Linked DNA regions of Styela clava. The protein of the gene in region 3 purifies or fractionates together with the protein of the main gene of each other region. This does not show direct contact. Links are inferred from orthologs where the notes say so. Each region holds a gene or a part of one and is shown on either strand. Other genes may lie near its edges.

Evidence for each region. Proteins that work in one complex are often made in the same cells at the same time.
Region 1: the proteins of paired amphipathic helix protein Sin3a-like (region 3) and lysine-specific demethylase 5A-like purify together in Drosophila melanogaster (affinity purification with western blotting; 3 studies listed by BioGRID, with this or other methods). This does not show direct contact. The link is inferred for Styela clava from reciprocal best matches to the Drosophila melanogaster genes Sin3A and Kdm5.
Region 2: the proteins of paired amphipathic helix protein Sin3a-like (region 3) and histone deacetylase 1-like purify together in Drosophila melanogaster (affinity purification with western blotting; 3 studies listed by BioGRID, with this or other methods). This does not show direct contact. The link is inferred for Styela clava from reciprocal best matches to the Drosophila melanogaster genes Sin3A and HDAC1.

Annotation. Positions count from the first base shown.
Region 1 is NC_135263.1:18,251,828-18,260,312, reverse strand, and holds the start of lysine-specific demethylase 5A-like, read left to right. Parts: upstream 1-5,178; 5' UTR 5,179-5,228; coding exon 5,229-8,485. Other genes in the region: uncharacterized protein LOC120341062, read left to right, coding at 1-23, 185-258, 365-710; DNA-directed RNA polymerase II subunit RPB3-like, read right to left, coding at 735-906, 979-1,132, 1,221-1,350, 1,623-1,751, 1,972-2,097, 3,156-3,278. UniProt on the Drosophila melanogaster protein: Histone demethylase that specifically demethylates 'Lys-4' of histone H3, thereby playing a central role in histone code. Does not demethylate histone H3 'Lys-9', H3 'Lys-27', H3 'Lys-36', H3 'Lys-79' or H4 'Lys-20'.
Region 2 is NC_135257.1:9,276,045-9,283,799, reverse strand, and holds the start of histone deacetylase 1-like, read right to left. Parts: upstream 3,308-7,755; 5' UTR 3,197-3,307; coding exon 3,148-3,196; intron 2,563-3,147; coding exon 2,450-2,562; intron 2,046-2,449; coding exon 1,928-2,045; intron 1,116-1,927; coding exon 1,041-1,115; intron 657-1,040; coding exon 518-656; intron 253-517; coding exon 111-252; intron 1-110. Other genes in the region: transcription initiation factor TFIID subunit 1-like, read right to left, coding at 6,329-7,755. UniProt on the Drosophila melanogaster protein: Catalyzes the deacetylation of lysine residues on the N-terminal part of the core histones (H2A, H2B, H3 and H4).
Region 3 is NC_135250.1:15,214,924-15,222,773, reverse strand, and holds the start of paired amphipathic helix protein Sin3a-like, read left to right. Parts: upstream 1-4,254; 5' UTR 4,255-5,277; intron 5,278-5,334; 5' UTR 5,335-6,788; coding exon 6,789-7,850.

The sequences.
Region 1 (8,485 bases), on a different chromosome or scaffold from region 3:
TGAAGGATATGGGTTTGTACAAGGTATTAAAATAAAGTCCTTAACCGACATCAATAAGTGGTGTATTGCAATTGCTACAAATTAACTTTGGTCTGAATTTATTTGGTATTTAAATCCATAAAATCCTGAACAACTACAATAAGATAAATAGTATTCCTAATATTTTATTATTCTTTCTTCACAGGTAAATGACATTTCAGTGCAGATGAACACAGCAAATAATAATGAGAAACTTTGGCAGGTCAAACATTTAATCAGGTATTATGATTTTGCTCAGTTCTCGTGGTGGTAAATTCAATTAGGAAGGCCAAATAATACAGACTATTGTCGTATGCTAACTTGCTAAGTACCATCAAATTTTCAGAATTCATCCAATTCAATTTCCAAATGGCCTCCCAACTAAAGAGGACATAGGTGGGACACATTTAAAAAGTAATGGTGAACTCATCATCTTCAAACGATTGGAAAATCCCGAGAACGAAAATGTCCTTGCACCAGAATTAAAACAAGAGCAGTGGAAAGTTGTAGATGGGTACAGGATGTGCAACAACTGTTCAGCCAGACGATGTATCAAATTACAAATGTGTCAAAAACTCTGGCGACAACGTGGCAGAAATCATCTGGAAAAAATTGGTCCTAAAATGTTCAACTATGTAGATCCACCTGAAGCCAGACAAACTAGTGATGCAGAAGGTGGTGGTACTTTATGACCAAAAGATCGTTTCTCAGCATCATCATGCGATAGTTAGTCCATCTTGCTGCAGTTCATGGCTTAGCTGTGTTTGGAGGTCACTGAGCTTTTTCTTAAGAACAGAGAGCCCTGACAGAATGATGTTCTCTGGTTTTATGGCTCCTGTAGATTCCACATTGACGAAAAATTTGTTTGCTTTGCCATTCGGATCAAATCTGAACAAAAATAAATTTAATGGCTACTGTAGCTCATTGTGGTTTTAATAAAACCAAGCCACGACAACTTACTCTGCTTGATGTCTATCATCATCATCTGTGAGATCACTGTGTTCGCTCCTAGGCCATTCTTCGGGTTTTGGATAAGTTGTGTGACGAAGTGCGTTATCTGGGTCATATTCGAAAGCACATGCACAAACTGTTTGCCATTTAGCATGTTCCTTTCCTATATTTATATTGAAGTTTCATTTATCCAACGAATGTTTCTCATCGAAAGCATTATACAGTAGACAGACATTAAGAAACCCGCTTACCAAATCCCTTTTTAGCATAAGCTTTGAATTTTAGGCATTGTCCTTTTCTTAATTTAACAATCAGTATGTCATCTTGTTCTCCATAATTTTCAACCTCGTCTCCTCTACTTCTCGATGTAACTGGAACAACCTTAGTTTAACATGCAAACGGCATTCAATTCATTTGTTACACAAAATGTTTATGTTTTATGCAATCACTATTAGCCAGCAAAATAATGGGAATGTTTTAAACTGGAAAAAAATATTTGGATATGATTATGACCGAGACATTGGGTAGAAAAGTCAGATAGTGTTTGTTCATTCCATAATAAATAAATGTGTATTTCTCATGAAACTGCAGAATAAATAAAATAAAAAAATAGCATCTAATGGATAATTTTGATTTCAAGAATACCATTTTACCTTTGGATTCATGGATATTAAATCACGAGTAGTAACTTGTCGCGTGCTTTCACTTGTACATTTGACATCGAGATAAAATTCCACTGAACATTCTGGGCAGAATTCATCGCACATACAATCTCTTGAGTACTGAAATCAGGATAAATACGTTCTTCAGTAAAATAAAAAATGATCACTTTGGTTTGAATAATCTTATGTATTAATTACCGTAGTACATCAACTAACCAGGTATGATACATAGAATGAGGAACAATGAGAGATAGAGAACAGACAAAATGACCTAATCGCATGGGCTGGCTATAGGTCCCGTTCAAATATGCTTGGTTGAATTTTACTTATTGCTATTTACCTGAATTTTGTCCACTATCTCATCGGATGTTAATGGAATCAATCCAATCCTATGTGATAAAAACTCATCATTCAATACTGAAGAATTTTCCTCAATTTGAATCCAGTCAATCGCAAGTGTGGGAACCTTAAAATATATTTAAATAGAGTAATGTGAGGCGGGCAGTCACAACAAACAAACAATTTTTCAAAGAAACATGTCTCATATAGAATATTAGAATGGATAACACTTCACTACTTTTTAATTCACCGATAGTCCAGTTCATAAGATTGAAACATGAACTCTAGTAATCTTTATTGTTGAGTCTATGCCATGCTTATAGACATTTGTATTTCATGCATGCGTACAGGTAGAAGAATGAAGTTATTAATGAATGAGTTATTAAAATGTGCAAAGGTTAAAAGTTGAGGATGACTCTGGGATAGCTTAGGAGTTGACGACTGTAATGGCCATGGAAGCAAATAGAAAGCGAGTGTCGGGTATGACTAGACAATGTGATTTATTGTGCTAAGTATTAGAAATTCGCTCGCCACCGCACCTCTGATTATCCTGTGGGAGATAATTATGTGCAAGAGGATTTCTAGACTCCTCGCCAGAAAAGGGTGGCTCCACGGCTTCCGATATGGGCAATAAAAAAATAAGGTAATTCAGCAGCTAGGGTACCGGTATACCCTTAAAGACTGTGTCGGAGTACGGTATCTCTAAGTCGTTCTATGTTACAACAAGATAGGACTTCAAAATTTATCCAGGGGGAGAGGATAGTCGATAAGACAGCTTTTTCATATTGAATTGCCTACATCACGTTAGTGCATTTATGTGGCATGTTCAAAACTCATATCAAGTTTAGGATAGGATAGGATTTACATATTTATCCCGGGGGAGAGGAAAACCGAAAAGACGGCTTATCCATATGGCGAACCACGGCCTCTCGTCCGGTTACCATTCCAAGTCGGGTATGGGATTAGTTATATTGTTTGTTTTCGGAAGCATGGACTTGGTGGTGGAGGAAGTCGTAACCGACCAGCGGTTACGTGAACCACCCAACGACGGCGAGGAGTCCAGCAATCCTCTCGCACATAACCATCCCTGCATGGGATTCGAACCTGCGAACCCAACTTTGGTTTAGCCAACTCTCCGGGTTCTCCATCCTGTTCCTCTCGGTTACCGGTATCAGAAATTCTCACCTCTGCAATAAATACCCGGCGGAGTGAATTTGCAACACTGAGATCTGTATCTTCAATAACAAATTTCACATTGTCTTTCGTAAGTTCCGTGATTGCGATTGTAGGCTGATTGGCGTAAGGCATTGTATTGTTTGTCTTCGATTTGTCAGCGCTAAACCCAGAATAATAAAAAAGCACACAATCGAACCCCTCAATATACGCCCCTGGAAAGAACAGAGCAAATGCAAAATTCGTACATAATTACAATTTGCCGGGTTGCATTTTTTCTATTTTCTGCTGAAATAACTTTTTTCTCATCTTAATGCGTCATTGCCCTTTTTCTTCTTTGTGTTTACGGACACCAAGTGGTCACGTAGCGAAAATGGCGACGGATTGTGCTCAGGGTCTTGTGCGTCTAATATTTTTCCTTTCTGTGTGGTAATTTATTTTAGTTAGAATAATTTTAAGTTATATTTTTGCCATGGATTAAATAACCGTTCGGCAGATTTTTCCTGGTATGAAAATCAGCGTAGAAATAATAATGTAGTAGATCCAATTTTGGCGATATGTCTGTGTGTGCGAGAATCTAAAAACTGTTTGGATTTTTTGCATTTCGCGCAACAATTTTGTGTTGAATTAAATAAAGTTTTTGGAATGTTTAAGTTTAAAAGGTATGCAATCTGATTGTGCGCGTTCTCTCGTGAGATCCTTTATATACGGCGATGTTGTGACTGTGTGATGTGTATTTAAATTCATCTACGATTTTCCGACGCCGTTCAGTCAGTCGTTAAGGAAGCGTAAAAATGCTATACGGGGTACTGAGATTTCTGAATTTATCGCCTTCGTTTAGCTGTATATACTGAAATTGTTGCTTCCTTATTATCTAGTATGAAATTTGCTCTTAAATACCTGCCTCAGCAGTGCAAAAGTAAAACATTTTTATAATATTAACCAGCATGAAGGATGATAAACACAGACCACCCTTATACTTCAGTACTTTGAAATTTTGAGTTTAGAATTGGGTTGAGTTTAGGCATAATCATTCGTAATATTAGTCAATTATAATCTTAATCAAACAAATTCAGGAGTTCGTTGATTTTAATAAAAATTTGCTTTCCTCATGACTGGTGTACCAATTCCATCTTGGTAATTCTTGTCAAATTTACTAAAATTTGGTGTAAAATGGAATGTTTACAACCCGAATCATGTCAACACATAAAAATTAATAAACTACAGATGAAAAAAGTATTTCTGTGATTGGATCAGATACCTTGTCCCACTTTGTAAGCTCCTTATTTAGGCTTCTGCTAGTTAGCCAAATCAACATATCAGGATGAATGATCATTTTTAAATATCACTAAATTGAATAATCTTTGTTCCAATAAATTGAAGTTGTAAGAATATTTGATGACAGTGATGGTTGAATATTTTTCCGGCTTTATTCAAAGCGAAGTTGTCTCATGGAAATATACAAAAACATAAAACTATTTACCGGTAAGCCTACCGGTACATGATATTCAATGCAAATGATGTATTGACAATTTAAATTTTTAGTAAAGCATTTTGATATCTTCTCAATGTGATCAAATTCTTAATTTATGTACAAGATTGTGCAAATACACAACAGAATTACAACTCAACCAAATGATTTTGTTTTTCAATTGACATGCTAAGGAAATTGAAATATCTCTTCCCGGCTCGGCGGTGTGGCGCATCATGCTAAGTGTTAGGAATATGCTTGTCACCGCACCTCTGATTACTGTTCGTGGGTTCCGATCTCATGCAGGGTTAGTTATGTGCAAACGGTTTCCGGACTCCTCGCCGCCATAGGGTGTTCATATAACCGCTGGTCGGTTACTGCCTCCTCCACCATCAAGTCCTTGCTTCCGAAAACTAATAACTGGCTAACTAATCCCATCCCGACATGGACTGGTAACTTAATGAGAGGCCATGCTTCGCCATATGATTAGGCTGTACTTTCCTCTCCCCCGGGATGAATATGTATATTCTATCTAATTAGATCCATATTAATTTTTCTGAATTTTGTTTTCATATTTAAAGATCTTAATAAGCTGCTGTATGTAAAAATTCAATATGTTTGATGATGAATTCTTTCCTCCTCCAGAGGCTCCAGTTTTTGAGCCAAACGAAGAAGAATTTGCTCATCCACTTGGATACATTGCTAAGATCAGACCTATAGCAGAAAAAGCAGGCATTTGTAAAATACGGCCTCCACCTTATTGGCAACCCCCATTTGCTATTGACGTAGAAAATTTCAAATTTACACCGAGAATACAGAGACTTAATGAATTAGGTATTCAAACTCGGATTCGACTTCAATTCATTCAGAAAGTAGCTAAGTTTTGGGAATTACAGGGTACTACATTCAGACTGCCACACATTGCCGGCTCTCCTTTAGATTTGTATGGTCTCCATGAGACCGTAAGGAAATTGGGGGGATTTGAAGAAGTCTGCAAGAACCGCCAATGGAATGCCGCATGTGTAAAGTTAGGAGTTGCAAAAAATTTTTCTGCAACAATAAAACAACATTATGAAAGATTGCTGTATCCATATGACATAATGGTTTCTGGCGTTCTTCTTGAGAGCCTTGATGGCTCTGGGAAACCACTTCCAAGTTTTTCAGGAAGATATGGAGGGAATAGCAAGGTAAAACCACAGAGAGAGCAAGAAGATGAAAGTGAAGCTGCCCGCCAGAAAAATAAAAGAAGAACTATAGATGATCCATCTCTTGTTGTAGACGTATCAAATAACAAAGAACTTGCCAAATTGCAGCTTTTTGGTGCAGGCCCAAAAATGGTAGGCCTGGGATTAATTGCTAAGAGAAGAAATCGAATAAAATCAGAAGAGGCAAATAAAAAAGAAATTAAAAGTGAACCTGCACCCGCTACTATCAAAATAGAACCGAAGAATGAGGATTGCAAAAATATATTTGATTTGATGGATTACAACGGGGAAATAGAAACTAAGATAAAGCCAGAAACTGCAATTCCTACCGCAACAGTTGACACAACCTCAATAAACACACGAAAGAAGGGTTCAGAACAGCTCCCATACTCCATTCTTGATACAATGGGTAATTGTAAAGTTTGTCTGAAGGATCACAATGACACTCAACTTTTACTCTGTGATGGATGTGATGACAGTTACCATACCTACTGTCTGATTCCACCATTGAACCAAGTTCCCAAAGGGGATTGGCGATGTCCAAAATGCTTGTCTAAAGAATGCAACAAAGTCATAGACGCTTATGGTTTTGAACAAGCAAGAAAGCAATACACACTACAAAGTTTTGGAGAAATGGCTGATGCTTTTAAGTCAGAATATTTTACAAAACCTGTTCACATGATCCCCACTGAGTTGGTTGAAAGAGAATTCTGGAGATTAATTGGATCAATAGAAGAGGATGTTGCAGTGGAGTATGGCGCCGATATTCATGTTCTTAATCACGGAAGTGGATTTCCTAGAATGTGCGACAAAGAGAAACATCCACTTTCTGCTGAAGAAGAGGATTATGCAAAAAGTGGATGGAATTTAAACAATCTACCAGTTGCGAAACAATCATTACTAAGTTATATGACTGGTGACATGTCAGGAATGAAAATACCATGGGTTTATGTCGGTATGTGCTTCTCTGCTTTTTGTTGGCACATTGAAGATCATTGGACATATTCTATCAATTATCTTCACTGGGGAGAACCAAAGACTTGGTATGGTGTTCCAAGAGAAGATGCAATCAAACTGGAAGAAGTAATGCAAAATACCGCACCTGACCTATTCAAGAACCACCCTGATGTTATGCATCATCTTGTAACCACTATCAATCCTTCAACTCTGATGAACAATGGTGTGCGAGTTGTCCGAACTAACCAATGTGCGGGTGAATTCATTGTTACCTTCCCCAGGGCATATCATGCAGGTTTTAATCAGGGATATAACTTTGCAGAAGCCGTGAACTTTTGTCCAGCTGATTGGATACCTATTGGCAGACAATCTGTTGCTCACTATCGCGCAGTAAAAAGAGCATGTGTGTTTTCACACGAAGAAATTTTATGTAAAGTCGCCAATAATCCTGACGTTTTAGATGTTCAACTTGCAGCTGCTGTTTACAGAGATATGCTTGCTATGCTGCAAGAGGAAAGAGAAGCAAGAAAGAAACTTCATGAGCTTGGTGTATGTCAAGCTGAAAGGGAAGCTTTTGAGGTTGTACCCGATGATGAACGTCAGTGTTTCATCTGCAAAACAGCATGCTTTTTGTCCGCAATTACATGCCCATGTAGACCAGATCACCTTGTCTGTACGTTCCATGTCAACAGGCTCTGCAGCACTTGTGATCCAAGTAAATTTATACTTCGATATAGATACACATTGGATGAATTACCTCCATTGCTTCATAAGATGAAATTGCGAGCGGAGTCTTTTGATACATGGACTACAAAATTAGGCGATGCGTTTTCAAGATTTGAAAACAAGTATACATTACACGAATTGAAAGAATTGCTTGAAGAAGCTGTGCAAGGGAAATTTCCAGAAAATGATTTGCTGCATCAATTGCAGTCAGCTGTACGGGAAGCCGAAAAGTGTTCACGAGTTGCCCAACAGCTTGTTGTGGTTAGAAAGCACAGGACTAGGCAAAAAGAAATTCATTCCACAGCTGGTATTATAACTCATCCAAATACTTGTTTATTGACGCTGGAAGAAATAAGGGCTTTTTATCTACAACTATTAGGTTTACCATGCACAATTCCAAACTTGGATCAGGTTTCTGATTATATAAAGCGAATTGAAAAATTTGTTACTCAAACTGAAATTATTCTGCAAGAGGAAGAACCTTGCAGTCATAACATTGCTGTTTTGATAGAGGATTCACTAGATTTTGATCTGGAACTTCCACAGGTGACGTTACTACACCACGCACTACAACAAGCAAAGTGGTTAGAAGAAGTCAGATCTTGTCTCCTTTTGGACGATGAAATAAATGATTGTGATCCTCCACCATCATTGATAACATTGGAGCAATTAAGGAAGTTGATAGATTCTGGAGTGTCTGTGTCACCTAGGCCTGCTGTTGAACGTGCAATGGCTGAGTTGCAGGAACTTCTCAATCTTTCAGAAGCATGGGAGGATAAGGCTAAAAGCTTTCTCGAAATGAAGGAAAAAGGCAGTCTAAAAACAGCAGAAGTTATCACATCCGAGTCCCAAAATGTTCCAGTGCAACTTATACATTGTGCTGAGCTACAGGAAGTGGTTGAAAAAGCAAACATTTGGGAGAAAAAGTTGCATACCATTCATAATCAGGATTACTATCCATATCTTGAGGTTTTGGAAGCTCT
Region 2 (7,755 bases), on a different chromosome or scaffold from region 3:
AATGGACAATGGGTTTTCAAAAGATTTTATTTTAAACTTTCACTAGAACTGATTACAAATCATGCATTACAATGCGCAATACAAAGTATAAGCATAAAATCTATACTAACCCTGAGATCGCCTGTGCCTGGAAAGTATTCACCATACTTATGGAATGAAACTGTCATAACTCTATCAGTTGTATAAAAGGCTTCTTCCACACCATCACCATGATGAATATCAATATCAATGTATAAAACACGTTGATGATACCTATACACAATATTTTTTGTCTCAGTATATTCTTACACATAAAACAAAATTGGTATTCTGAAACTCTTGATTTCAATTCATTTTAATTTTGAATATTCTAAAATCTAAATAGATCACTTTTATTTTATTTGACTGTGATTTCAACAAAAAAAAATGAAATTTAGATAATTTGGTTACAGTTTGAATTTGATTACCGTACTCTCATTAAAATTATTGTTTCAATAATAATCTCTAAAAATCAACAATTCATATTCACTACACTCACTTTAGAAGTTCTAATATAGCAAGCACAATATCGTTAACATAACAAAAACCAGAAGCTTCTGATTTTTTAGCATGATGAAGTCCACCTCCCCAGTTGATTGCAATATCAGTTTGCTGCTTGTTAATTTTGACAGCTCCAGCTATAAAAATACCAGACAGAATATTAGATGAAAGACTTGGTATATTGAACTTATCTTATAACTTATCGTATAAATATCTCCTTTTTGAATAAAGTACAAGCACTCGCTGAATGATGAGAAAACACAATGGTGAGAAGCTGGTGATGCCTAGAAATTTTTTTCAGTCTGAAAAGCTTTTACATTCAGGGTGAGATTTGGCCTTAAATTAAATAATGTGTTGATTGAGCTAGATTTATTCAAAACCAGTGATGCCAATATAGTTATTCCAATACAACCACTTTACTTTGTACACATCTTCATAACAAATCATCTAATATAGGACTTATTATTCTGCTCTAATATGCTATGATACTTGTATGTATATATATTACATATTAGACTTACCAATTGATCCACCACCAGATAACTGACAAAATTCATAAAGTCCATCGAAAACTGGACAATCTTCTCCGACATTAACTGAAAAAAAAATTTATCACACTTCTTGAAGCAATATCACAGGGTTTCAAATTATGCTTTCTTAGGTATAATTGTCCCAAAAATTCACAAAGCCACACACTACACCAGGGTCGACCAACCTTTTTGGCCGTCGGGCGACATTTAGTTTACTAATAATTGCGTGGGCCACTTAACATGGTAATTATGTTCTAGTTTTGTTACACTGACTAAAAGTTAATAAAAAACAAACAAAACCCTCGCACCAAACTTTCTCACTAATAAGAACAATAAAAAAACAAAGATACAGTAAAGTCAACAAAGTTTTTTCTACACATAGATATTTTAGTGTGAAGTTTGGCACTGTTTTCGCTAACAAGTTAGTAAATATTCGCTGAAATGAACGATGTAGCAATGCGAAGTGAATTTTCCATATGACTTTCAGAAATTAGTGATCTCACAGGGGATTTGACATGGTTCATCTGTGCCCAAGTGTGTAAGCTACTATTTATGTATCGATACCTTCCAGTTGATTTCGAATCAAAATGGCACTCATGGCTCGTTTGAAAGGGCTAGCAGAGCGCATTTCAGGAAAATTAACAAATTGTTTGTATCAAATCTTCATATTAACTACATCATTCTGAAAATGGAAGTTTTACTCAATTTTTTTTTATATTTAATTTCGAAAATACAGCGCGGGCCACTCAAAGCTCCTTGGTGGGCCACATGTAGACTGTGGGCCACAGGTAGGACGACCCTGCACTACACACTCAAAGATACAATATGATTAAAATTTAGTGTAGATGTATTATTAAATAGTCTTAGAAAATCCTTACATCTCTGCATTTGTTTTGTATATTCAGACATGTTGTCAGGTCTTATGCTGCGCAGAAATTTTATGTAATCATCACTGTGGTATTTTGTCATCTCATCGCTGTTGCATTTATGTGGTCGCTGTGAAATAGATTAAAGAATAAACAATGCACTGACTATGAATTTTATTAATTCACCATATTTTTGACCTGCAATTAGAGAAGCTTATGGCCACTGTATTATTGGGTTTGACAAATGGAAGGGGAGCCAAACATGGGTTACTGGTTGCAACACCCAAAATGCATTACACAAATAATGATTCCATTCATTGAAAAGTTTGAAATCCAATATTTTAATAATATAGGTACCTCAATATAAATTTGTTTCATTTTTTATATACAAGAGGAAAAATATTCAAACAAATATATCAAACTAAAAATATGATTCGTGAGGTTTTCGAAGTGACATTTTGTTTTAGCAATATTTTCAAATTCTATTTGGAGGCATATTTCTATAAATGTGAGTGTACAAAATTTTTAGCTTACAAAAATTTCCATTTTTCGATACAGTCCATAGTTTAAAAGTAGATTGTGGGTCATGCGTATTCGGTGTGGTTTCATTGGATGACCCTGGCCATAGTAGTAGTTTCCAACATCAGCTGTTCGAACAAAATTGATAAATGAAAATTAAATGGAATATTTGAAAACCATAACCAACCAGCGGTTACGTAAACCACCCTATGACAGCGAAGAGTCCAGCAATACTCTTGCACATAATTATAACCAACAGGATTCGAACCTGTGAACCCATGCAGGATAATCAGAGATGCGATGGCAAGCGTATTCCTAACACTTGGCATGATGTGTCATACTGCCGAGACAAGATTGTAGTTGCATTTCATATCGTATCAAAGAGACTAAAAGATCTGACAACGCAGTTTAATCATATTGAAAGCCACATCTTTTTGTCTGGACTCATTCTTCATGAGAATAGTTATTCCAGAAATAAACATTGGTTTCTGATCATTATGAATTAATATTTGGTAATGTTGTATATTTCCACTAAATACGACAAACGTATATCACACAGTCATCACAGTTTTAAAGTAAAAATGAAATAATGAACCAACATGGTAATTACTGCACGGGGCTCTACTGGCACACGTACCTCCGACAAAGCCAAGCGAAGTTATAAAAAGTGAATAGTTCAGCTATTACCTGGATAATTTTGGAAATATACTTACAATCATAATAATAGCAAACTTTTCTGTTTGTTGGATTCGTCAGCGCCATTCCTTCAACCGAAATACTTTAAAAACGAACAAATAATTCACGCAGAGACAGACGCGCAGACCACACCACAGCGACAATCGGAGGAAACTAAACGATATGTAGCGTTGCCAGATCGTAATATCAGCAGTGCTTTTGAGAGAGAGAGAGAGAGAGAGAACTTATTTATTTCGTCAAACCAGAAAACGATTAAATATATATGATAGCAAATTGAGAAAATTTAGTTTTTGATAGATGACTGGGTGGTAACGATACAACCATTTACGGTCATTTGAGTCAGTTATCACCCAAAACAAGCAAATTAACAAACAAATTAATAACACAGGTTCTGTTATACTTACGGTTATACCACACTCTCAATAAATATAACAAAAAAAACGATATACACTATGTGCAAAAAAAACAATATTTGATTATAGGAGAGATAAATTTGTCTATTCGGGATAAGGGAATTATTTGAATAAATTTTTTAAAGCAAATATTCCAAGAATTAAGAATTCTATACCAAATATATTATTATACTAGTTAATTAGTATATATATTAATCCACACATTCAATCTGTCCTGAATCTTTTTATGTGCATACACAAGTTAAAATATAAAAGATGAGTCACAATATCACAAAGAAAAGTTCCACAAGCAACAATAATATGTTGTGTGAAGTAAATCACAGTTTGACCGTAAATATGGTTTGACATATGAATTATGGGCATAACAGTAATACGATTTTTTTTATTTTTAATTCATTAGCTTGAAGAAAATATGGAACAACGGCATGGTTTGGAAATTTAGTTATCAATATTAAGTAGAACAAAAGCTAAAAACCTAATGAAAAAAAGTATTCTACTTATGTGATAGAGATCGAATATCGTATTTATATCGCTGGTTCGGGTACCGCAGTGAGAATATATACACATTTGATACGGATAATCATATATGACCAGTTGACGACCTATCGTTCGTTCATAGGCCTACATCATTTTACGACATACAAGTTGAAAATCTTTGATAGATTAGGATCAGGTCTGTTATAGTAAGGACATTGAACGCAAAATTTCAATCTGTTCATACAATTATTATCAGAAAATGAAAAGAGGCGCCAAAAGTTTTAAATACGGCAATAGCGGAAATGTTTCAAAACCGCAAAATGTTGGATAATCGATAAATATAGCATATAAACGAAGTGAAGTGAAAAAAAATATTGTACACACAAATTAAAACTTATATAATTTTATCAAACCATTCCTCTTTTTAATGAAGCATGAAGCTAAGATTAAACCAATTTAAGGAAATGGCAACAAATTCTGAAAGTTATAGGCCTACTGCCAATGTATTATTAAATAGTGCATAGAATATTCTAAAATGAAACTTCACATTTTGAATCTTCCTTATATTATAGTTAAGTCACGTGTTTCTTCAATTTTGATTATATCCAATTTGTCTTTGTGAGATCAATGTTTTTAAAGAAGTGCCTTGAAATTATGTTCAAAGTTCTTCTATTTCTGGTTGTAATTTAATGGAGCGGCTAGAGTTGTCCACTTTTTTAGTGGGAATTTTCCTGCATAGATCGTAATTATTGAGGTAAAGGTGAAAGTGCGACCATGAAAAACATCGCCAACATGTAATTCAAATTAATTTTAAATCACATAGCTTTTTGTTGATTGTACACATATTTTACCAATTTGCAATGAAGAAAACAATTAGCCTACATGAAAGGTCCCAGGATGAAAAAATTGTTTTTTGGAGGGGGAACCAATTTTTTTATAATGACATAATGCGACGCTAACTCGTGCCTTTTGCTCCAACCAAGGCGAGATAAAGACTGCTAGAAGACAATATCTTAAATAATCTCTCTACGGGCTTACTTCGCTGTTCAAGTTATATATATATAAGCAAGCATTTTCATCTATCTGGTTGGGGTATTCGGAGCAAGGATTATTATGTCTCATCACAAATGCCTCGAAATTGCATTAAACAGCTGAATATTTTAGAGGTGGGGCATGGCCTGGCTATGGCCACAAAGGGTCCTTCATTCACTCGATATATTTTACAACCATTTTGTGTTTTATTCAAGGATTCAGATGCCGGAATAAGCAACTGACGTTAGGTTAACATTAAAAAACTAATATGATAAGATTTACATATTTATCCCAGGGGAGAGGAAGGCCGCTAGTCCGATTACCAGTTCATGTCGGATATGGGATTAGTTAGTTATTTGTTTTCGGACGCATGGGCTTGGTGGTAGAGGAAACCGTAACTGACCAGCCTTACGTGAACCCCCCTACGTTGACGAGTAGTCCAGCAATCCTCTCGCACATAACTATCCCCGCATGGGATTCGAAAATGCGAACCCACGCAGAGTAATCAGATGTGCGGATGGGGGTCCAGTACGCCAGATAATTTCTTTGATAAGATTGTCTCTGTGTGCCCATTCGTAAGATAACGAGCATTAGTGTTTAAAATCCTACTAAAGACATCACTCGTTTCCCCCAATATTGGTGCTAATTGTATGCAAGTGTGCGTTCTATTTCAAGTAGTCAAAGTAATCTTAGCGTCATAAAATACTAAGTTGACAGTTCGAGATTGACACTGGCGGTTGGTACCTGTTCTTACATCATGCAATTTATAGAAATACGTTTGCCATCGCACCTCTTATTACTTTGCGTGGGCTCGAATCCCGTGGGGTTATATCGTGCCAGAGGACTGAATTTCCTACAGCCGTTGAGCGAGTGCTTCACTATACTAACGGTTGGTTACGTCTTCCTCCACCAAGTCCTTGCATCTGCAACAAAGAATGTGAGGTGTGGAACGCCAATGGCATATGATACAAACGTCTGCAATAGCCTGATATTGCCACTATACCGCCATTGCCTGAGATTAATATGGAATTCCCTAATGATATTGAGCAGGGTAACAAATGAAAATGCACTTCGAATTTGAACTATAATCATTTGTCATAATATGGCATTGGGCTTTTGAAACTTTTTTGATATTTCCCCAAAAGACATTTTCATCATTCTTCACATAATATTACGGTAGATACAAACAAAATACTTTGTTAAGTGTTCATTTTTAGATACAAAATGATTAGATTTCTTGGTGAAAAATATAATAATTAAGAATAGGACATAATATTTAGGTTTCAGAGAGTTCACTTTCGCTGACAACTTCTCCACCGACAGATACAAAACTGCCAGCTTCGCTATCCTCGCCTTCTGAACTCAGAGTCAATGATTGTTTTTTAGTTGAACTTTTGTTTTTACTTCTGAAATCAGAGGGAACATCCATTGCATTGTCTGGGGCACTATCTCTGATAACTTCATCTTGATGAACTGTTGTTGAGTATTTTTGGAATCTTTCCTTCATTTGATCATCATCACTGCCCTCACTTTCAGATCTTGCAAATGGATTTGCTTCGTCTTCATCTTCACTATTGCCTTCCTCATCCTCACTTGCAGACATTTCTCCATCCGACATCAGCAAATCTTCCAAAAGCAGACTCTTGCCTTCTTGGGCCTCGATGCCATCAGCTGTGTTAGAGTCGTTTTGAGTTCCGAGAGCTTGAGCTGCAGCGACTGAAACAAAATCATTCGATGAAGTGGGAACATCACTTTCCACATCTATTTTTTCATCTTCCATGTCGGTGAACATGGTATTACTCTTACTGTCATCTTGCTGCATTGCAGTGAAGGAGGAGTTACTATCTTCATCCACACCAATGTCCATGCTGTTTTCATCCATGACAACGTCGTCATCAGCTCCAGCCTCTGCTTCCTCTTCTGCCGCTTTCTTTGCAGCAGCAATATCATTTTCTAGCTGTGTTAAATGCTCATCATATTCCTCGAGTGTATTTCTGCAAACATCAACGATTTGTCGAGCAGTTTCAGTAAATTTTGATTCAGCGCCATTGAATTTTGAGCTGTTAATTAAAATAAGCTCAACATGTTCCATAAACTGTCCTCTATTTTGATACATATGTTTCTGAACATTCTTTTTCAGTGTGCCGAGATCCATTGGATGATCAACAACTTTGTAATAATCCGGCACAATTTTCTTATTGACAGGATTATGAAAAGGCCATGAATCTGAAATGGTCATCATTTTATTACTGATTATATTATCAAGAACAAAACTGAAAGAAACTTGGTCATCGTCATCAAGCAGAGGATTTATTGCTTTCTCCAGGCGCATCAATTTATCTTCCAAATCTTTGAATCTTGAGTCACAATAATCAGTCATATGAATAGCAGTCTTTGTTAATGGACTGTCTACACCATTATAAATTTTAGAATTGTTGACAATCAGATCTAAATGTTCTTTAAAATCTGCTCTAGATAAATATGAATGTTTATGAAGGTGATCTCTCATTGTTTGTAAATCCATTGGTTTTTCAATGATTTTGTAATAATCTTTGACCGCTCTTGGATTCACAGGGCAATGAAAAGGATGAGTTGATGGAAGTTCACGCAAACCATTAAGTACATTCTCAAGAAGTGATGACAAAGTTACAACAGGGTCTGCTCTTTTTCTTTCTTTCTTTTTTGCAGGCCGAGTCAAGTAGT
Region 3 (7,850 bases):
CGCAAAAATAGTGCAAGTTTCTGTAGTATAATTTGTATTGTAGTTCTGTGAGTTTGTTAAAATAGGTTCTGAGCAAGTAGCGATACTTTCACCAGGAATTTTATAATAACTTAATAATAAAATGTGTATCTGTTTGTTTAATATTTTGGTCTTATTGGGTTGTTGATTCATCGAGTTGGATGACTTTAACCTTAACTTCGTATATGCTGACCATACCGCCGAGCCAAGTTATCTGAGAAACATTTGCGGATAATTAAATTTTCAGAAGACTGTTCATTCGTTTTGCCGATGCGAAAGTTTGGTCCGAATTAGTGAGCATCGTTTTTTTTTAATCAGCTGTTTAACGATCACAGGTTTAAATCACTTAGTTAGGATCATACAGCGATATAACTCTGGACACAAAATGGCTGGTGTGACGTCACCTGAGCCATTATAGCTTGTTCCCACCAAAGTGACTGTAAACCAAGTGAGGACATGCATTGGTAACGTTATAAGCGCTGTTCGGTAGGTTCATTTTCATACAAAACTAAAGAACTTATATAATCCCCAGATGTGCGCTACGAAACTCACTTTCTAATCGTTTTTCAGGGCCTAGTTTCACCACAGAGAATGATAATGTTGACCCTCTATAGTTTCACGGCCAATGTGCATTGTTTCCGGTCTGAAAGACTGCGTGAATTGCAATTTTACGTCATTGTCGTCTTATTGCTGACAAGAAAATACCTCCATTCCTGATTTTGGTTTGGGTTCCATTATTCTGCAGGGGTTCTCAACCTGGGGTTCGCGAACTCCCGGGGGTTCACGAGAAGATTTCAAGGGGTACGTGGATGGCAGTCGAGTTTTTGTGTGTTGCTGTTTTTTGATATCCTTTATTACTATCAGAGGAAAATGCGTGCCGATTGAAACTGGATGCCAATTGAAACGTGATTTTCCCCCCGATCTTGCGTTGTTGTGATTGTGACGCAACAATGTGAAATTCACGGCTTCGCTGAAGGCAAACTGAAATTTCCAAAGACAGCGTGCTGCGAGCATTGGAGAAAGTGATGCGTGAGAGGGATTTTAAGAATTCATTGGTTGGGCGGAGGACTAGGGCAATAATAGTAACAGGGGAAGTAAATTTAGTTACATCTGGTCAATAAATTGTTTTTTCAACAAATTGTTAGTCAATATATCACAAAATTGTTTGGATGTCAGATTACCGGGGGTTTGCGTTGATTGTTTCGTGACTCGGTGGGGGGGGGGGGGGGGGACGGACCAAAAGTAGGCACTTGCAAATTAGGCACTTTTTTAGGCACTTATTTAGGCACTTTGGAAAAAAAGTAAAAAGGGCGTAATACCTTTTAAAAACATAATTAATTAGTTAAAAATGGTCAAATTAAATGTTGAAAACGCAAATTGCAACGGGCAAACTCAATAGCAATATATAAAACGCAGTATTAAAGGCAGTCGCACGCGCTTGGTCACCACATATGCTAGGCGCATACTTAGGCACTTCGAAAAATAAATAAAATGGCATATTCACTAATAAAAGACTGAGAAATAAACATATTACCCACACTGATTAGCCTGAGTAAATATCTAAGAGATGTACTTAAGTCTAGTACTGGAATTTAGAAATAATAAATTGTTACAGGTAGGCACGTTTTTAGGCACTTATTTAGGCACATCGAAAAAAAGGTGAAATGGACGTAATAACTCCTAGAAAGATAATGAATTAGTTCAAAATATTTAACTTAAATGTTGAACGCAAAAATTGCAACAGTTAAACCCAATACTGTAATGATTTTTAAAACGTAGTACTAAAGGTAGACGCACGCGCTCTGTCACCACATATGCTAGGCACATATTTAGGCACTTCGAAAAATAAAGAAAATGGCAATTATCACTAATAAAAGACAGGGAAATAAAAATATTACTCACACTGATTAGCCTGGGTAAATATCCAATAGATGCACTTGAGTCTAGTACTGGAATTTAGAAATAATAAATTGTTACAGGTAGGCACTTATTTAGGCACATCGAAAAAAAAGGTGAAATGGGCGTAATAACTTTTAAAATGATAATTAATTAGTTAAAAATTGTCAAATTAAATGTATAGTACGCAAATTGCAATGGGTGAACCTAATAACAATATTTAAAACGTAGTATTAAAAGGAGTCACACGCGCTCGGTCACCACATATGCTAGGCACATATTTAGGCACTTTGAAAAAAGAAGAAAATCGGAACTATCACAAATAAAAGACAGAGTATTAAAAATTTTACCCACACTGATTAGCCTGGGCAAATATCCAATAGATGCACTTGAGTCTAGTACTGGAATTTAGAAATAATAAATTGTTACCGGTAGGCACTTTTTTAGGCACTTCGAAAAAAAGGTGAAATGGACGTAGTAACTCCTAGAAAGATAATGAATTAGTTCAAAATATTTAAATTAAATGTTGAACGCGAAAATTGCAACAGTTAAACCCAATAACGATTTTTAAAACGTTGTATTGAAGGGAGACGCACGCGCTCGGTCACCAAGTATGCTAGGCACATATTTAGGCACTTCGAAAAATAAAGAAAATGGCAATTATCACTAATAAAAGACAGAGAAATAAACATATTACCCACTTGCAGTCTAGTACTGGAATTTAGGAATAATAAATTGTTACCAGTGGGCACTTCGAAAAAAAGGTGAAAGAAACGTAGTAACTCCTAAAAAGATAATGAATTAGTTCAAAATATTTAAATTAAATGTTGAACGCGGAAATTGCAACAGGTAAATCCAATACCGATTTTTAAAACATAGTATCAAAGGGAGACGCACGCGCTCTGTCACCACATATGCTAGGCACATATTTAGACACTTCGAAATATAAAGAAAATGGTAATTATTATGGATAAAAATACAGAAAATAAAAATATTGATCAAAATAATTAGCCTATTTGAATATCCGATGAATGCACTTGAGTCTAGTAGTGATATTTGAGAATAATAAATTGTTACCGGTAGGCACTTTTTAGTCACTTATTTAGACACTTCTAAAAATGCGTAAAATGGGCGTAATACTAATAACTTTTAAAACGATAATGAATTAGTTTAAAATATTTAAATTAAAAAATTAATATGCAAATTGCAACAAGTAAACCCAATGATATCGGTTTTTATATTTTGCATATTTGAAAATATCTTAATTCTTTACTTTGTAATTTTGTTTTTGATAAATTAAAATATAAGACATCCCCCGAAAATAAGCCCTAGTGGTAATTTTAGGAAGAAATTTGAAATAAGACACTGTCTTAATTTCGGGGAAACACGGTAAAAGGTGTCTACCGGTAACAATTTATTATTCTCAAATACCACTACTAGACTCAAGTGCATCTATTGGATATTTACCCAGGCTAATCAGTGTGGGTAATATGTTTATGTCTCTGTCTTTTATTAGTGATAATTGCCATTTTATTTATTTTTTGAAGTGCCTAAATATGTGCCTAGCATATGTGGTGACCAAGCGCGTGCGACTGCCTTTAATACTACGTTTTAAATATTGCAGTACTAGACTCAAGTGCATCTATCGGATATTTACCCAGGCTAATCAGTGTGGGTAATATGTTTATGTCTCTGTCTTTTATTAGTGATAATTGCCATTTTATTTATTTTTCGAAGTGCCTAAATATGTGCCTAGCATATGTGGTGACCAAGCGCGTGCGACTGCCTTTAATACTACGTTTTAAATTTTGCAGTACTAGACTCAAGTGCATCTATTGGATATTTACCCAGAACCCTTGCATTATTGCGACATTCAGTGCTACCAATGACAATTTCTGTATTTTGTACCATATTTTATGCAGTTAGCATCAGATCATTCAGTATCATTTCTCCATTTTTGGGGGTTCGCGTTGATTGTTTCGTGACTCGGGGGGTACCGTACTTGACAGAAAAAAGGTTCAGAACCCCTGCATTATAGCGACATTCAGTGTTACGGTATGGCGCTATTTCTGTATTTTGTACCATATTTTATGCAGTTAGCATCAGATCATTCAGTATCATTTCTTCATTTTTTTTTACTTTCTGCAGTTAACGGTTCAGATGAGATGGTTTATAACTTTTATGCGCATAGTCAAATTATACGGTAACTCTTGTTCTAAGGCGATTTTCTGGATATTCTGTGGGAAGATACGGTACCGGCAATATGACTACCGGTATAAGTGTAATAAGAAAATCCGGTAATCACTTTGGGTGCCGGTAGGTGACAATTGGGGATCGTACCGTAATATATACAGGAATATGACGATAATGGAAATACTGTAGAGCAATGAGAATACCGGTACCAGCGCGGCGGTGTGGCTCAACGGGCAAAGCGTTAGGGATACGCACGCCACAGCACCTCTAATTACTCCTGTACTCTGCGTGGGTTCGCAGGTTCGAATCCCATGCAGGGATGGGTATGTGCGAGAGGATTGCTGGACTCCTCGTCGTCGTTGGGTGGTTCACGTAACCGCTGGTCGGTTACGGCTTCCTCCACCACCAAGTCCATGCTTCCGAAAACAAACAATACAGCAATATAACTAATCCCATACTCGACTTGGAATGGTGACCGGACGAGAGGCCGTGGTTCGCCATATGGATAAGCCGTCTTATCGGCCTCTCCCCCGGGATAAATATGTAAATCCTATCCTACCTAACCTGAGCGATCTGACCATCGATAGGCTACGGCCGTCCGAACAGCTCCTATAATGTTCGAAGCAATTGCAGAATTAGGTATAATAATGTCGCAGTGAGCGGTACCTGTAGTTATTATTATAAAGGAAGGAAGCAGTTATAAATTCCAGAATTTTGCATCTTGAGAGATTAAAAAAAAGTAATATCGAGAAACAAAATGTAAAGTTAGCCTGTTCTTACCGTAATTGAATATTTTAGAATTTGGCATCCTCCAAGTCCATGCGGTACAGGTACTTTCGAAAACATATCATTGGCTAACTAAAGCCATAACCGACATGATCAGGGGTCACCATGTGATTAGGCTGTCATATCGGCTTTCCTCTTCCTCGGAATAAATATGTAAATCCCATTCTATCTCGGTATCCCTAGTTAGACCAGTCTCAAAATTGCTTGTTCTGGGTATTTTTCACTTTTTCTAACATTTTGTATGTCCAACTGAAAATATTAGCTAACTACCCTAACTATTTTGCCACTTTAGAAGTACTGAAGTAACAATGACTTACCGTTGATCCATTATTCTGATACCGTATTGGTTGCATTTTTTCATTCTTTGATGTATGATGGCATGAGGCGCAGTTCTTACCACTTCATGGCAGCTCCTGCCACGAAGATGTATGATGGCATGAGGCGCAGTTCTTACCACTTCATGGCAGCTCCTGCCACGAACGAACCGCGGCATCACTTGCCATGGTTTTATAGCGCTATTCAGTAATCAGTATTAACTGTATATTCACAAATTCATGTACCGGTACCAGACATTAATTAATCATGCGGAATTATATCTATTTAAACCCTAACCCCAAATCTATCAAAACTGTATCTATAAGAAAAACGTTCCAACTTACCCAATATTTGTCACCGTAAGTGACAGCCCTGTCCTTATGGCCCACCTGCCGTGGTTACGACAGCAAAATTTTACCTGCCATTCAGCCATTGGTTTTCAATTTGCTGCCGCGGTAACGGTAGCTCGTCATTGGTTTGTGGCAGCAAAAAAGTCGGTCGCCATAGGTTTGGCCATAGCGGCCATGGTATGGAAATACCGCCATGGTTTTGCGGCAGCTGCAGACGCCACAGAATACTTAAAACTGCACTTGGATGGCATTGTGCATGAGAATGGGCATCTTTAATATAGATTCGTTTCTTAATTAATTCCAAATTTTCTGTTAAAGATGCGCTGAGTTTGCCTTACTGATTTATATGCTTCTTGGCAAACAGCAATTTTGCACCTCCTTGGGTTAATCTCCTTGTCATTCTATGGGTCGATGAAAAATGCAAACAATACCAAAATTTTACTACTTATCCATACTATGTTTTCCGAAGAAATGAACGCTCTATGATGAGTACCTGAAAAGCAAATAAAAATAAAAATTCCCATGTGTATCGTTTTTGTTATTATGTTGCTGTTATTGTTAGAATTCTTTTTCTCATTCTTGTTGTTGCCTTATGAAAAATTATCTTTTCTAAAATTAATTAATGGACCATTGTATTCCTCATATATCCAAACTTATTTTTATTGATTTTGTATTTGTGCTGTATTTCAGTCGGACACAGTTCTCGGATTCCAATAAAACAAACATTCTGATTGTCCCTGAAATGAGGGTGTCTGACATGATGGCAGATCGTGCCACGATTGGCTCAATAATAATTTGAATCAATCACAACGTGCGTCAACCATCACATGACCAGAATTGCTTTTTATGCTAGAAATTCTCGAATGCTACCGTAATTATTTTTTCTTTTGTTGAATCAGATTATTTCTGACGTTTCTAGATTGTGCTTCGTTTCAGTTTATTGCACAGTGCTCGTTCGCCGATTTGTGCCATTATGGAGACCCAGACTGTCTCATAAAGGAGGGGTTTGCACTCATTGGTATAATTGATGTCTTTCAACGTGGGGGCTATTCTTGGAATCAGAGATCTGTATTTAGTTGGTGGAGAATAGAGATATATAGTGAAAAAAACTGATGCTTTTTGAGACCATTTTACATCTGAGTATCTAACTGTTTGTGAATATTTTTTATTTGTTCAAATTTAGAGACTGATCTAATTAATGTATCACAAGTTAATGAAAAAAATCTAGACATGTCAAATCAGTTTGACAAAAAGGATGAACCTGGGGTTAAACCTTCACCACCAGGTTCACAGCATTCACAACATGCATTGTACGCTCGGCGACAAACACCTGGCATTCTTCATGGCCAACAAACTCTCGTATCTCTGGTTCACGGACCAAATGCGAGCACGTATCGGGATACAACCGCAGAAAGACCTATCATTCCCAATTCTACAAGTGTTGCAATATCAACCACAAGATTCGGTGTTCCATCTTATAATCGTCCACCTACATTGTCACAGCAGGCTACAATTTCCCAGCCATTATGTTTACCCTTGCAACCACAAGCAGTAATGCAGCAACCCTCAGAGAGCCTATCTCAACAGCATCATATGCCACACCAAGCTCCGATTTTGCACCACCCGGTCATTGCGTCTGGACTTCTTGGTCATCTTTCTCTTCCACAACTTCCTGCATCATCGCAGGCTCAGATCCAAGCTCAACAACAGCAACAACAGTCTCAGTTTCAGCGCTTAAAAGTCGAGGATGCACTGTCTTACTTGGACCAAGTTAAATTTCAATTTGGAAACCAACCTCAAGTGTACAATGATTTTCTGGATATCATGAAAGAGTTCAAGTCACAAAGCATTGATACACCAGGTGTTATTCAAAGAGTCTCTAGTTTATTCGCAGGACATGCTGATCTCATTGTTGGATTCAACACTTTCTTGCCTCCTGGCTATAAAATAGAAGTTTCTGGTAATGATCAAGTTAGCGTGACTGGCCCTAACATGCTTCCGCAAACAATAAATACACAACATGGTGGCGCAGGCCCGCCGAATGCTGTACAAGTACATGCACCACAAACAAAGTATGTGACCCCTCCTGTCACAGGTCCCACATCACAGAATCAACAACCTCTTATAAAAAGCCAGTCTGGGCATGCATTGACACCACCTAGCTCTATGTTCACACCTAATGCTCATAGCTCACAGGCAAACCTGACTTCCTCCAGTGCAGCGAGTGTCAATGCCTCCACATTGGCATCCTCCAAAGCGTGTGCTGGACCACTTGTGAACTCAATCACAGCA